2 linked regions of the Diceros bicornis minor genome follow. The protein of the gene in region 1 purifies or fractionates together with the protein of each later gene. This does not show direct contact. Links are inferred from orthologs where the notes say so. Each region holds a gene or a part of one and is shown on either strand. Other genes may lie near its edges.

Region 1 (8,034 bases):
AGCTGCTTTCCAAGTGTGTAACTTTGGGCAAGTCAATTAACCTCATTGTGCTTCAGTTTCCCTTTATGTAAGATACAGACAAGAATACCATCTATGGAGGGCCGGCCTGGTGGCGCAAGTGGTTAAGTGTGCCCACTCTGCTGCGGCCGCCCGGGGGTCGCTGGTTTGGATCCCGGGCGCACACCGACTCACCGCTTGTCAAGCCATGCTGTGGCGGCGTCCCATATAAAGTGGAGGGAGATGGGCATGGATATTAGCCCAGGGCCAGTCTTCCTCAGCAAAAAGAGGAGGATTGGCAGATGTTAGCTCAGGGCTGATCTTCCTCACCAAAAAAAAAAAAAAAAAAAAAAAAAGCATCTATCTCATTTGGTGAACATTAAATGAGAGGACACGTGGCAAGCATCTTAGGACAATACTTGTTTCTTAGTACATGCTCTCAAATGAATGTTAGTGGCTCTTACTACTGCTGTTATTATTGTTGATGTTAGAATTGAGTGATTCCAGTTATTTCACTTAGGACAGCTACATAAGAAAAATAGAAAAGAATAAAAAAAGGGAGACTTAAGACCTCTGCATTTTGAAGTTAAAAAAAAACAAACATTCATTCTATGTACAGGTGTAACAAGTGCTGGCAAGTTCGTGGAACCAAACCAACTGTGGAATAAATTATGTCTCCTCTTGAGGATCTTAGCATCTAGCAAGGAAGACAAGATCCTCATACATTAAAAGTAAACAACAATGGAGCATAAGAGTTGAAATAATATGTCATTAACCAGGGTAAGGAAGGTTATAGAGTAGTGAGATCAATTTAACAAATCTCCAGAACTTAAATATCCATTGTGTGAGGCCTCCTGAGAAATTATTCCTGATTTAAAAAAAAAAATTGAGGGGCCAGCCCCATGGCATATTGGTTAAGTTCACACACCCTGCTTGGTGGCCTGGGGTTCGCAGGTTTGGAACCCAGGCGTGGACCTACACACCGCTCATCAAGCCATGCTGTGGCAGCATCCCACATAAAAAATGGGCACAGGTGTTAACTCAGGGCCAATCTTCCTCCCTCCACTCCCCCAAAAAAATTGAAATTTGCCACTGACATCTACTGGATGAGAGTGTAAAATCTATATGCCTCTTTAGGGGTCTTTTCGCAATGTCTATCAAAATGAAAAATACATAGCTTTTGACCCAGATATTCTACTTCTAGAAATTTATTTTACAGATATACTCTCACACCTGTGCAAAGAAATATACATAAGGATGTTCACAGCAGCACTGTTTATTATACACTGGAAACAACTAAATGTCTCTCAGAGGATACTCAGGGAAATAAATCACAGAAAATATATGTAGTGGAATACTATGCAGCCATCAAGAGGAATAATGTAGATATGTAAATACTTATATGGAAAGGTAAAGTAATACTATTAAACAAAAAGAGCAGGCTAGAGAATAGTACATGTGAAAAATTCATATTAAAAGTGAATTGATGTAATATGAGCCAGAAATTTCACTTCTTCTTTTTTTTTTTTGTGAGGAAGATCAGCCCTGAGCTAACATCCATGCTAATCCTCCTCTTTTTGCTGAGGAAGACCGGCTCTGAGCTAACATCTATTGCCAACCTTCCTCCTTTTTTTGCCCCAAAGCCCCAGTAGATAGTTGTATGTCATAGTTGCACGTCCTTCTAGTTGCTGTATGTGGGACGCTGCCTCAGCATGGCCGGAGAAGCGGTGCGTTGGTGCGCGCCCGGGATCCGAACCCGGGCCGCCAGTAGTGGAGCGCATGCTTAACCGCTAAGCCACGGGGCCGGCCTGCAATTTCACTTCTGAGTATATACACAAAAGAATTGAAAGCAGGATCATGAAGAGATATTTGTACACCCATGTTCATAGCAGCGTTATTCACAATAGTCAAAGGTGGAAGCAACCTAAATGAATGGATAAGGAAAATATGGTATATACACACAATGGAATATTATTCAGCTTTAAAAAGGAAGGAAATTCTGACATATGCTACATGGATGAACCTTGAGGACATTATGCTAAGTGAAATAAACCAGTCACAAAAAGACAAATACTGTATGATTCCGCTTATATGGGATATTTAAAGTAGTCAAACTGAGAAACAGAAAGTAGAATGGTGGATGCCAGGGGGAGGAGAGGGAAATGGAGAGTTGTTTAATGGGTATGGAGTTTCAGTTTTGGAAGATGAAAAAGTTCTGGAGATTGATTGCATAACAGTGTGAATGTACTTAATACCATTGAACTGTACACTTAAAAATGGTCAGGATGGTAGACTTTATGTTATGTGTATTTTACCACAATTAAAAATTTTAAAAATGAGCTGATGTATTAAGTGTCTGCTTGCACATATATAGGAATTTCTGGAGAGTCTATTAACAGTACTTGCTTTTTTTCATTGTATACCCATTTTACTATTTTAATGTTTTTATCATTTATGAGCTCTCAATTTTAAAAACTTAAAATTGTTCAATAAACAGCAGTAACAGCATTTTTTGGTTGCTATGTGACCTGGTGCCAAAGAGTAAAAGAGACACAGTAAGTGCTATTATTTCATGGAAGGATATGAATAAATGGTGGCAAAGAGTGGTCGGTGAGGACACAAAGGTGTGTAAGTTTTCCTAAATGCAGAGGGCAATTTCAGAAATGTTAAAATGTGAGGGGAAAAAAAAAAAAGACCGCAGGGTGTGTTTGGATGACTGAGCAGACCAATTTGATGAGGGTCTTGGATAGCGGTGCTTGGGGAAGACGCTAGAAAAGTAGGGTTGGGGCCATATTGTGGCAGGATTTAAATGACCAACTGGGTCATTTAGATTTTTTTCTGACAATAACGTGGGGCTGTGGAATGTTCTGAGCAGGAGAGTGCCAGGTGGAAAATGGGATATAGGAAAATTAAACAGGCACGTTAGATTGAAAGCCAGTTAGACTGCGGGGGAGAGACAGGAAGGAAGTCAGGACACAATAATCCAGGGGCAGGGTGATGAGGCTCAGACTCGGCCCAGCCATGTACCATTTCTCCTCCTTAACCATCCTCTAGTCTTTCATCCTTTCATCTGAGTTTCCCTCCTTTTCTATTTCAAACTGCCCAGTTCCCACCAGCTGGGTGCATTTTATCCTCATCTGGTTCCAGCCTTCTTTTTGTATGAGCTATCTAGCATGTAGAGCCATCTCTAGTCAGATGTGTGGTCACTTAATATGAATAAAATGTGTGTTTTGTATGGTTCATCTGGGTTTGTTTATAGGCGTTTTTGTCTGGCTCACAAAGTTAGTGTGGTCAGATTCACATCTGCCACCATTACCACTGCTCTGCACAGGCTGACAGCTCGTAGAGGTTTGCTTTCTTCACTCGTTTCCTGGCCTCCAGGGCCTCTCACCTCCCCGCAGTTCAAACTTCACCTCTTCCTTGAGGCTTTTGCTCACTGTGTCAGTTCTCAGCAATGTCTCTGTCCCTCACAGCACTGAACACACCACTCAACAAACAGCACACATTATCATCTCGTCAAATGTGACCCTGTGTCCATATTTGTATTTTTACACATTTATGCTAGGAAGAAGGACCTTGCCACCCACTTACGAAAAAACTGGCCATGAAAACCCTGTGAATAGCAGCAGAGCATTGTCTGATATAGCGCTGGAAGGTGAGAGGATGGCGCAAAAGACCAGGCAGGGTTCCCCTCTGCTGTACACAGTGTCACTAGGAGTCAGAATTGACTCCACAGCACTAATAACAACAACACATTTATGCATCCTTGTCTCCTCTGCCAGGCTCCTTGAGCCTGGTTAGCACCTCCAGGCACAAGGCCTGGCATCAAGAGATGAGGGGATGATGAGGCCCAGCAAGAAGAGGTGGGAGGCTCTGAATTCCAAACCTGACACAGCAGGTGTCCACCACTAGGTGGTGGTGGTAATCAGGCATCTCCTTAGGCTCTCTGTGCGTCAGTTTTCTTATCTTTTAAATGGAGATGCTGTCTGCTTTGCTTGGGAAAATATAATAGGTAATATTACCCCGGGCTAGGAATAGAAGAACCCTGGCCTCAAAACTGTAACCTTCACCTAATAGCAATGTGCTCTTTAAGTTACTCACTTTTCTGGACCCCATTACTCCTACACATAAAAGGAGGAGGTTAAACTAGACCAGAGGTTCTCAGAGTGTGCTCCCCAGGGTTCCTGAGATCCCTCCTTCAAGGGACCAATGAAATCAAAACTATTTGCATAACAATATTCAGAGCTGTCTCTCTTCTCACTCTCACTCATGAATATAGTGTTTTCCAGAAGGTACATGATATGTGATGTTACTGCTCTAATGCTAATTTGTAATTGGTTTATTTCTGTTATTTTTAAATGAATGAGTACATTTAAAATTTTTCCCCCATTTTACATTTTCCTTTAAATTAAATATATATCCTACATAAACAAAAACTCTTTAAGGTCCTAAGAATTTTTAAGTGTTAAGGGGTCCTGAGACCAAAAAGTTCGAGAACCATTCAACCAGATTTCTAGAACATTCACTCAAATAATTGCGTCCCGTGAGGCAAGGCATTTTTTAGATACTGAGGATAAGGAAGTGATAAAGACAAGGTCGCTGCTCTGATGGAGTTTACATTTGGGAGGGACGAGGCAAACGAATACATTAACAAGATAATTTCTGAGAGCCGCAAGTCTCCCGAAGGCATAAAGCAGGACACGCGTTCCCCGCAGGGTGCGCCCGCTCTCCCCAGAGTGACACCGCACGCGGGCGACTCAGGCCTTCAGCCGGCAGCCGCCAGGAGGCCCTGCGGGCAGCCCCGGCGCGCGGGGCGGGGATGCGCCGGGCGCTGGCGTGCGGTGACGTCACTAGGCCGCGCCAGCCAATCGCGGGCAGCCGCTGCCGTAGGCCCCGCGGGCCTGCGGGCGGCGCTGTGGCCCGTCGGGCGGCCCCACAGAGCCGCCATAGCCGCCCTCCTCCCGCGACCCAACGTCTCGGCGGCCGGCTCCGCGCCGCCGTCATGGCCGACGTGGAAGACGGCGAGGAGCCCTGCGCCCTGTCGTCGCACTCCGGGAGCGCAGGCTCCAAGTCGGGAGGCGACAAAATGTTCTCTCTCAAGAAGTGGAACGCGGTGGCCATGTGGAGCTGGGACGTGGAGTGCGATACGTGCGCCATCTGCAGGGTCCAGGTGATGGGTAAGCGCTCACACGAGGCCCGGGCCGCGCTGCGGCCTCCGCGGAGCCGGCTCCTGGCGGGGGGCGGACGAAGCCTCGGAGAGACTCCTGCCCCGGCGCGAGCGGGCCGGGGACCACGCTGGACGGGAGGCTGCGGCCGCCGCCTGGGGGCTGCGCTTCAACAGGCGCCCGGCGCCGGGGGCTGGCGTTCTGTGGAGAGAAACGGGCAGTGGGCAGAGGAGTTAAACAGGATAATTTCAGGTAGTGACGGGTGTGATCAAGAAGATAAAACTGGGAGGCTTGGTGGGAGCTGGGAGGAACCACTTCGGTTTGTGTGGCCAGCCCCGGCAGCCCCTTCTGAAAGCAAACCGCGGAGAGGTCGGGGTGAAGGCCTTGAGTCAGCCGGGCTCGGTGATGGTTCTGCTCACACACCGGCGATGCCCCCGAGTCATCTTCCCGCAAACCACACCTCGGTTCCGCTCCTGCGAGGCGCGGGGAGCAAAAGCCTTCCCAGCCGCTGCATTTCTGGATTAGCTCCTGCTGTTCTGCTGGCTTTTAAATCCGCACGATTCAGGACGCGGCAGATGTCACTCGCTCGGCTAAGGGGGTACAGTGTGATTCAAGAATGTTTAAATTTCCTGGGAATTGAAGAATGGAAGCCCTTTATTTAGAAACACGAAACTTCTTCCCGGCCTCTCCCCATCATATCTTTCCTGAGAAAGATACTGCCCTGCTCGGCGTCGGTCCTTGACGGAGAACCCTGTTTCACAAATAAGTTTTATTTCTTTCTACGGTATTTTGAATAAAAATATTGGACCAAGGGAAACCTTTCAGAACAGCTTCATCTCGTTACGTTGTATATGGTTTCTGTTTTAAGATCTCAGATCACCTTGGAAAAGACGGGCTGTTTAAATGCAAGTTATAATTTGAAGTAAGGCATTTAAAACTAGTGAGAGCATCCTAAATGCCTTTTCTTGAGGGCAGATGAAGAAAACTGAGGTTTCTGTAGTTTTTAAACTTTGTGTCTTGTCCTAAAAAATGAGAGAATTGGAGAAAATAGCTTGAAGAGAATTGCTCTCCCTTCTCGAGGGATGAAATTTTAAACCTACCAGTATCAAGAGATTCCACAATTTACACTCTCTTTAGTTTGCTCTCTTGTGTTTTATTCATAAGGACTTGTTTCAGAAATAATTTACAACAATGGGATTCAAATATTTTTATTCTACTTTTGAGAGAACGTGATTTCTTTGAAACATGATCCACTTACTTTACATATTAGGTTTTAAAAGCACCTTCTTTATTGGCCTGCAATACAGCCCCTTTACTCCAACCCTTACTTAAGAACTAGAATCATAATTTCCAGTTTGGGTGGCATTTTTAGCTTTTCCAGGCGACTTAATCTTTTGGTCTCTTGCGAGAATGTTTATTTTTCTCTCCAAAGAAAAATTTTAAAATAGTAAGTAGAAATGCGGAATTTAAAATAATGGTTGAAATTTTGCAACAAATAAACTTTACTGGGATATTTAAAGTAAGTCAAAATATGAGCTGTCAATAGCTCACATTCACATTAACTTTCTAATTATAGCAAGTGTTCTGCTACTGTGGATTAATGTTGCAGGTGGACAACAGCTGTACTTTGGGTTCAGGAAAGTATTCTGGACTAGACCTTTGTATTTTGTTTATGAGGTGTTAAAATCCACTTAGTGGTCAGGTGACAGACGGCAGAAGGAAGTTTGTTTTTCAGACTCCCCAGCCCTTACCCTAGCATCATTCTGAAAGGTGTTACTGTTACTATACTCCTTAGAAATGTGCTCTTTTGGATATTAGAAACATCCTCAAAAGAAGCTTTTTCCTTAATCTGAAACTTTAGGTATTTTTTCCATATAAGTCAGTTTTTGATAATGAATCTAAATCAAAGCCATAAGCACCATTCAGGGATTTCTAGATTCTACAGAAAGAGCCCACTTAATCCCATTTCCTTAATATTTGGAATTCATCTCGTACACCTAAATGATTTATTATGACTTCTTGATCCAAGATTTACCTGTCAGCCCATTCTGATGTGGTTAACGCTCTCTTCCTCCGTTTCCACTCTCCTCTCTTCGTTCTGCAAGGAGCAGAGGGCACAGTGAGCAAGTGCTGATGAGGAAGAGGGGAGTGGGTTTGCTAGCACTGCCAAGTTCTGAAGAGCCAGAGTAACCAACATGGCTGCATGTTAACTTGGACATTTGACGTAACCTTTTGGAGGCTTGTTTTCCTAATTTGTAAAAGAGGCAGTTGGGATCACAAACTCGAATTCTGTGATTGCACAGAACCAGCCATGTCTCCACTGTTAGATCACGATCCTTAGGCTATTTAGTTGTTTGCCTGTCCACCTCCCCATATGCTGGTGAGACCAGGGACCCAGACTTGGCCATTTTGGTGTCCCAGTGCATAACTCCTTGTATAGAATAGATACTCAGTAATTGTGGAATTGAAGAAAGCCTCAGGAGGCAGTGGTTGTTTTTCATCCATGCTGAAGAGGCCAGGGTGGTGTGTTTTTTTAGGGTAAGGGCGTGCAGAGAGAAGCAAACAAATGCCTGAGCAGAACCCAGGGTAAGAGGAGAAGCAGGCTTCAGCTCCACCGTGGCTCTACTTTTACCTAATTATTTTTCTCCAACTTATGTTAAAAACTATTTTTTTCTGTTGGTTTGAACTTCCTTTTATCCAACTTTGATTCCTCTTCCAGCTAGTGAATGAATCTATTGCATAGCTCCCTGAAATATTCTGTTACCTCCTTCATCAAGCAAATAGTAATACAGATTGAATTTTGAAAACTTATAGTATACCCTTTAGGTTCTCATTCCTAGTGTTTACTCCCAAGTACTTTATTAAAATACTT
Region 2 (7,767 bases), on another chromosome or scaffold:
ACATTCTAGAAGTAGGACCTGAGAGAGAAAGGCCTTGGCTTTAGTGTTGCTGATCACACACAGCAGTACCCCTCCGAGGTACCACACACTTTATGAGTGTGCTCATAAAGACATGGAAGTCGTCTTCCCCCCAACATCACCCCTATCCTTCACTCTGCTGATCTAAGCATGCTTTGCTGTTTCAAAGCCACATACATGAGGCTGAGATTCCTCTTTGACTCTCAGAGCCGTGAATGCTGACCCTAGTCTTAATGTGGTAATGAGTTGGAAGAGTTGGAAATTCTTGGGTATTGCCAGTTGCATTATTTATATTAAACAGGCATGGAAACAATCAAGCCTAAAACTGTCAATGCATGTTGGGAAGAATGTGTTTAGGACTTTAAGGGTTTTCTATTGACAAAGAAGTGAAACTCACTGTTCAAGTGGCCTAGCAAGTGGATCATGTTGGCTTTGTGGAAGAAATTGAAGAACTTCTTGAGAGCCACAGAGAAACGCTAATAAAAAGCTTGAGGAACTGATAAAATCATCCCCAGAAGACAAAGATATGATGAACAGGAAGAGAAGACCAGTTCACATCTTTATAAATATGTTCAAGTGCTCCATGCTACAAAATACCTGAATGATTCCTTTTTTGTTTTTTTTTGTGAGGAAGATCAGCCCTGAGCTAACATCCATGCCAATCCTCCTCTTTTTGCTGAGGAAGACTGGCCCTGGACTAACATCCGTGCCTATCTTCCTCCACTTTATGTGGGATGCTGCCACAGCATGGCCTGACCAGCAGTGTGTCGGTGCGCGCCCAGGATCCGAACCTGGGCTGCCAGCAGCCGAGCACACGCACTTAACCGCTACACCACGGGGCCAGCTCCTGAATGATTTAATTTCTGAATAAAATCCCTCTATGGAGAGAAACCTCAAAATTACATGTGGTTAAATCTGTACATTGTGATTCCTTATAACCCAGCCATTCTGCACATAAGTATATACCCAACAAAAATGAGTGCCTAGGTCCACCAAAAGACTTGTACAATACTGTACACAGCAGCCTTCTCTATAACAGCTAAAAACTGGAAACAAATCAAATGTCTATCAATAGTAGAATAGATAAATTGTGGTATATCCATACACTGAAATACTGTAAAACGATGAAAATAATGCATTCTATTTCATGCAACAACATGGATGACTCGCACAGACATAATGTTGAGAAAAATAAGTCAGACACAAAAGAATATATACCATATGGTTTCATTTATATGAAATCAAAGAAGAAACAAAGCTAATCTATACTGATAGAGGTCAAATGGGAGTTACCTTTAGGGGTGTAGTGTCAGGGAAAGGGTAAGAAGGAACCTTCTGGGATGCTGGAAATGTTCTTGATCTTGATCTTCGTGGTGGTGGTCACACAGCATGTGTAAATATTTTTGTAATATGTAAAAACTCATTGAGCAATTTAAGATTAATATACTTTATGTTATATCTCGATAAAAAAGTAAAATATTAAAATTACTTGTAGCATTATGAATATTTGAGCTATTATCAACGAATGTTTGAGCAGTTCAAGATCAGTGCAACAATTTGTGAATACCATGCTTTAAACAACCAGCAGCTGAGCAGGTACGGTCAACTTCTCAAGATGAACTAGAGTCAGCCATGGCGTATGCTCGCTCTCTGTCCCCTAAGCCTTCATCCACTCGCTTATCACACAGGTCCTGCACTAATATTCACAATAGGCTGCTACTCACAGTCATAGTGTCATTATTTTTGTCGTCACACTGGCAAGACGATCCAGGTTGGGTGGATGACAAGTGTTCAGGTTCATATCTTTTTTTTTTTTCGAGGAAGATCAGCCCTGAGCTAACATCCATGCTAATCCTCCTCTTTTTGCTGAGGAAGACGGGCTCTGAGCTAACATCTATTGCCAATCCTCCTCCATTTTTTTTTCCCCCAAAGCCCCAGTAGATAGTTGTATGTCAGAGTTACACATCCTTCTAGTTGCTGTATGTGGGACGCGGCCTCAGCATGGCCGGAGAAGCAGTGCGTCGGTGCATGCCCGGGATCCGAACCCGGGCCACCAGTAGCGGAGCGCGCACTTAACCGCTAAGCCACGGGGCTGGCCCTCATATCTTTCTTTTTAATATGCTTTCTTCTTTCTCTTAAAATATTATAAAATTTTATTCTGTACATCATTGTATACATACTGCCACATACTGTATTTTACACAAAACTAACATATGCTGTACCTAATAGATGGGGTAAGAAGGGATTTTCAAGGGTAATTTTGACTATGAGACATAATTGTCACCTAACCTCTCTGACTCTCTATCCCCTAAAAATGTGAAGCTTGTAGCACAGTGCCTGACACACAGAAAGTGCCAGTTCAGCCAGACTCCCACCTTCCACAACCCACATGTGCTCTCTCACCAAAGTTGCCGACGACAAAAAAAAATTTTGTAAGTAATCAAACCTGAATTTTCTGCTGCACTGTATCCTCCCTGACCCTCTTCTCACTCTACACACTCTCTCTGGGTTCCCTCATTGATTCTCATAGTTCAACTCCTGACTACAGGCTGACGCAGCTCACAGATTTATATCTCCAGCCCAGGCCTCTCACTCCCCCTCCAGACCTGCTATTTTCAAGTGTGTTCTAGATGGTTCCATCTGGTTGTTGCTCAGGCACCTCAAAAAACACGTCCTAAACTGAACTCACCACCTCTCTCCCACCCTCCTGCCCCTGTTGCTCCTCTTTCTGTCATCTCCATCTTCATTAGTGCTACCACCTTCCAAGAGAGTCTTCCAGGCTAGAAACCTCCCTTATTCTCTTTCCTTTCCCTGCCTCAGCATCCAAGTAGTCACCAAATCTTGCAGTTTTATCAGTGTTTCTTGAATTCTTTTCATCTTCTTTCCACTTCCCTATTTCAGGCTTTTGACACTTGTCACCTGGTCTGCTGGAACCAGTCTCCTTGCTTCCAGTCCTATTTCCCTGGAAACCTCCTCTACATTGCTGCCAGGGAGGTTTTTCTAAAATGAGTGTCTGACCATGTTCCTCTCCTGCTTCTATCTGTAGAAGAAGATATATGTGGCTCCCCATTACTGGCCTGTCCTACAAGATATTTGCATTCCTTAACTGGCCTGCAAGGCCTCAAGATCTGGCACTGACTTCTCTAGGCTTGTCTCTCCTGCTTCCTTTCCCGTTGCAGCAACCCTGAAGTCTTTGAATTTCCCCAAACCCACCTACTGATTCCGGCTTTTTTCATGCTGACCCCTCTGTCTGGAATGCCTTCTACATGCAGCAACCCTAACCCAACCCCCAAGCTGCAGAACCACTTCTCAGACCAATTTCTAGTCAATCTTTAAGATTCAGCCCAGTGTCATCTCCTCCAGGACATTTTTCTTTCCTAACTGCTTGACCCCCTATTAGAAGTCCCATTCTTTTTACTCCCATAATACTTTCATGATATCTCCATAATTTCATCTACTACATGATAAGCTGTTTTATAAATGTCCTTCTAACTTCTTTGAGGATTCAATGCTTAATCTTCAGTGCTTAACACAAATGATTAAATTTGAACCGGAAACTAAGTGCTTTATGTATATATAACCTCACAGAACCCTCACTACACCCCATGCAGTAGATACCCAATAGTATCTCCATTTTACAGAGGAAGAAACAGGCACCAGGGAGGTTCAGTAATTTGCCCAAGGTCACGTGCATACTGGCCTTGGAGTAGTCACACTCAGTCAGCCTGGCTCCACAGTTAGCATCTTTCACCACTATATCATATGGCCTTTCTATAGAGTGGGCACTTAGTAAATGTTAGGTAAACGATAATAGCTATGCTTAGTGAGTGCATTCTATGTACCAGGCTCTGTGCTAAGTGCTTTACCTGAATTATTTCAACTCCACAACAACCCTATGAGGTAAGTACCATCATCATTCCCATTTTACATAAGAGAAAACAGGTTTAGAGAAGTTTGGCAACCTCCCCAAGGTCACACAGCTAATTAGTAGCATAGCTTCACTCACAACCAAGGTCTTAACCACTGCACTACCAAGTGAAACCAACAGCTCAGGAATGGATTGACGTCCAGGATGAAGACTAGAACAGCAATGGAGACCTATGACACCTAGGCTCAAAGCACAGAGTTCCAAACCTCAGACATACAACAGGCTGACTCACAACTGGGCTAGAAAGAGACCAGCCCAGAAACAGTGACCCAGAATCAAAGGGCCGTGGAAACAGATGTCAACACTATGGAAGCCCCTCCTAGACCCCATGCCCCTCATCTCTAGGGGCTGAGGAGTTGGTAGCCAGGCTGCTCAAAGGTCTTGACGATGGAGAACAGACCTCCAGGGATCCCAAAACGATGATACTATCAAAGGGTTAATTCGGAGCCTGGACTGCCCGGGTGCGGACTCTGTAGCGGCCGGAGAAGGGTTAACCGCCCGGGAGAGCCTCCTCGCGTGGGGCGGTGACCAGAGGTTAACCGCCAGAAGTGGGCTTTACGGGGGCGTGGCCTCGGGGCCGGGCGCGACCTGGGGCGGCGACGGGAGGGTTAACCGCCCCTGGTGCCCCCTTGGGGGCGGGACGTCGGGCGGGGCGGGGCCTGGGGGAGGTGCTGGAGGCGGAAGCGGCCGGCGATCAGCGCCCGGTGCGCCGTGGCTGTCGACTGGGCTCCTCCCGAGGCCCGGCGACCTCCCGGCCTGGGAAGCCAAGCGAGGTTCGGGGACCGTGACGGGGGCACGGTGCAGGCAAGGGTGACGGCCCCCGGAGAGGCCCAAAGGAGGAGAACTCGCGAGAGTCTAGGGAGACCGGGACAGATGGGTGAGGACAAGGTGATGGGCCTGGGAGCTTTTGGGAAGCGAAGGGGGAAGAGAGGGGCGATGGGCAAACATGGATGGGAGGATGGAGCGCCTGGGTGAGGAACCCCCTCCAGGATCCCGCACTTCACACCCTCCTCCTCTCCAACTCCTCTCCAGGTCAATCCCGAACGGGAGCTCAACTTTCAGAAGAGAGACGCCCCAGCAAGACTCTTTCGGGGAGTCCTCCGGCTACTCACCTCCATGGGCCAGACGGCCCTGGCAGGGGGCAGCAGCAGCAGCAGCAGCACCCCCACCCCACAGGCCCTGTACCCTGACCTCTCTTGTCCAGAGGGCTTGGAGGAGCTGCTGTCTGCGCCTCCTCCTGACCTGGGGGCCCAACGGCGCCACGGCTGGAACCCCAAGGACTGCTCAGAGAACATCGAGGTCAAGGAAGGGGGGTTGTGCTTTGAGCGGCGGCCCGTGGCCCAGAGCACTGATGGGGCCCGGGGTAAGAGAGGCTACTCGAGGGGCCTGCATGCCTGGGAGATCTGCTGGCCCCGCGAGCAGAGGGGCACCCACGCCGTGGTGGGCGTGGCCACAGCCCTCGCCCCGCTGCAGGCTGACCACTATGCGGCGCTGCTGGGCAGCAACAGCGAGTCCTGGGGCTGGGACATTGGCCGGGGGAAGCTGTACCATCAGAGCAAGGGGCCCGGGGCCCCCCAGTATCCAGCCGGACCTCAGGGTGAGCAGCTGGAGGTGCCGGAGAGGCTGCTGGTAGTTCTGGACATGGAGGAGGGAACTCTGGGCTACGCAATTGGGGGCACCTACCTGGGGCCAGCTTTCCGCGGACTGAAGGGCCGGACCCTCTATCCGGCAGTAAGCGCTGTCTGGGGCCAGTGCCAGGTCCGCATCAGCTACCTGGGCGAAAGGAGAGGTGAGGCTTGGGGCAGGTGTGGGGAGAGGGTTCTATCACTGGTGGCTGTGTTTTGGGATGGCAGCTCAGCGCCTTACAAGAACAGAGGGAATGGGCCTTCATCTCACCTGCCTCCTGCCCCTATTCAGTGCCAGAAATGGCTAAGGGTCTTCACAGCTGTTACCTGATGTAATCCTCCCAAAAGCAATAGAGGTAAAAGTGAGGCTTGAGAAAGCAACTTGCTAGTAAGTGGTGATCCCTCAGACTGGAGGGAGACACTCCAGGGATTCAGAGTTAGGGCCTTACAGGCGATATCAGCCCCTGGAGCAAGAGGTGCAAAGGGTAGATGGGTACTGAGCTAGGTGTCCAAGTCCAATAGAAAGAGGACTGGGAGTGCCAGGCACCCAGGGTGTGGACCAGCGTCTCTGGGCTCTGACCTGTCTGTGACACATACCTACTTCCTTCCTCAGTCAAACCCCAGGAAGGATCCATTGAGGCCCTGGGCACCAGGAAGGGAGCAGTGAAGGAGGCCGAGTCTGGGGGTGGGGCTGCAGGGGAAGGGTCTCCTTGGCAACTGAAGGGGCCAGGGCTTGGGGCTGATTGAACTGAACATTCTCTGCAGTTGCAGTCTTCAGCAGAACAAGGATGCCTCTCCTCCTGTCACCCATGTGAGCTATTCGAGAGCAGAGGAGGGCAATCCTTCCTCTCACCTCATCATCCCTGGCTTCAAGGCCTCTCTGGAATCAAAGCCTGGGCCAGCTCCACCGTCATCAGAGCCACCTTGGGCCTTAGCTATAGCACCCCAGCTCTGACTGGGGATGTATGAATTCTGAGATGCCTCTCACCCCAAGAGCAGATAGAGGTGCCTTAGATCTCCCTTTCAAGCAAGGTGGGAGCAGACTCGGAGCAGGAAAGCAGAAGGGAACCTGGGCAGGACCCAGTAGTTTGAGGATATCTGGCTGGTGGCTGCACTCCTACCTAACTTCCTCTCCTTCTTTCTCCCAGCGGAGCCACACTCCCTTCTGCACCTGAGCCGCCTGTGTGTGCGCCACGCCCTGGGAGATACCCGGCTTAGCCAGGTATCTGCTCTGCCCTTGCCCCCTGCCATGAAGCGCTACCTGCTCTACCAGTGATACCACAGACTGCGCTGGGGCCTTGACACCCCTCTCCCCTGGGTGGGGGGAAGGAGGCACTGCTGGCCTAGACCAGCTATGTCAAGCCAGTGAGGGTGGGGGAGGTGAGGCTGGGCCCCTACCCCAACCCAAGCTCCGGGGAGCTCAACAGCCCCAGAGCCACCCAGAGGCGGGGTGGAAGGGAGGAGCTGTTATTCAAGGCTGTGGCAGCCTGGTACGAAAGACATTTTTTCAAGTAAAAATGCTAAGAGATGTGCTGTTGCGGAAACCTGTTCGTGGTATTTTTTTGCACAAGGGTCCTCTGGCTGCCTCAAAAAAGAGAGAGAGAGATGATATGGGCAAGTATTGTGAAGAAGGACAAACAACAAGGCTTACTTCCAGCTGTTTATTTCCCCCACACGTGGGACTGCTCACATACACAACACACACAGGCGTTGGCACCAAGGGAGAGAGCAGCACCCCTGGCCTTGGAGGGGAGGACCGGGCTGTCTCTCAGCCCTTGGCCTCATGGTGTGAGATGGGAGAGGAGGATGGCTTCTTTCTCCTCCCTCACTGGGGACTGAGGGGACCCAAGAGCAAACTCTACCCCTTCCACCTCTCAGCCAAGGAGAAGCCACCTTGGTGACATATTTAGTTCCAACTATTACAGTAAGTGGAGAAGGGATTGGCCTGGTCCCAACCATTATAGGGTAAGGTGTAAACAGTAAAGGAAGAGGTACAGTTTGGATTAGGCCAGGAGAGGGGGCAGGTGACACGACCAGAAGCATGTGTGTGGGGGGGTGGAGCTGGGGATGCAATTATTGGGCTTCTGAGCTACCTAGTCCCTGGCTTAGCAGGACGGGCAGGGGAGATGGATGGGGCTTATTGTTTGGCATTGATGATGTCCACGAATTCAGGCTTGAGAGAAGCACCACCCACGA

Evidence for each region. Proteins that work in one complex are often made in the same cells at the same time.
Region 2: the proteins of RNF7 (region 1) and SPSB2 purify together in Homo sapiens (co-immunoprecipitation; 3 studies listed by BioGRID and IntAct, with this or other methods). This does not show direct contact. The link is inferred for Diceros bicornis minor from reciprocal best matches to the Homo sapiens genes RNF7 and SPSB2.

What each region holds. Positions count from the first base shown.
Region 1 is NC_080741.1:11,972,161-11,980,194, reverse strand, and holds the start of RNF7 (RING-box protein 2), read left to right. Parts: upstream 1-4,964; 5' UTR 4,965-4,999; coding exon 5,000-5,174; intron 5,175-8,034. UniProt on the Homo sapiens protein: Catalytic component of multiple cullin-5-RING E3 ubiquitin-protein ligase complexes (ECS complexes), which mediate the ubiquitination and subsequent proteasomal degradation of target proteins.
Region 2 is NC_080756.1:54,870,682-54,878,448, forward strand, and holds SPSB2 (SPRY domain-containing SOCS box protein 2), read left to right. Parts: upstream 1-4,650; 5' UTR 4,651-4,819; coding exon 4,820-4,834; intron 4,835-4,978; coding exon 4,979-5,735; intron 5,736-6,719; coding exon 6,720-6,847; 3' UTR 6,848-7,115; downstream 7,116-7,767. Other genes in the region: TPI1 (triosephosphate isomerase), read right to left, coding at 7,709-7,767. UniProt on the Homo sapiens protein: Substrate recognition component of a SCF-like ECS (Elongin BC-CUL2/5-SOCS-box protein) E3 ubiquitin-protein ligase complex which mediates the ubiquitination and subsequent proteasomal degradation of target proteins.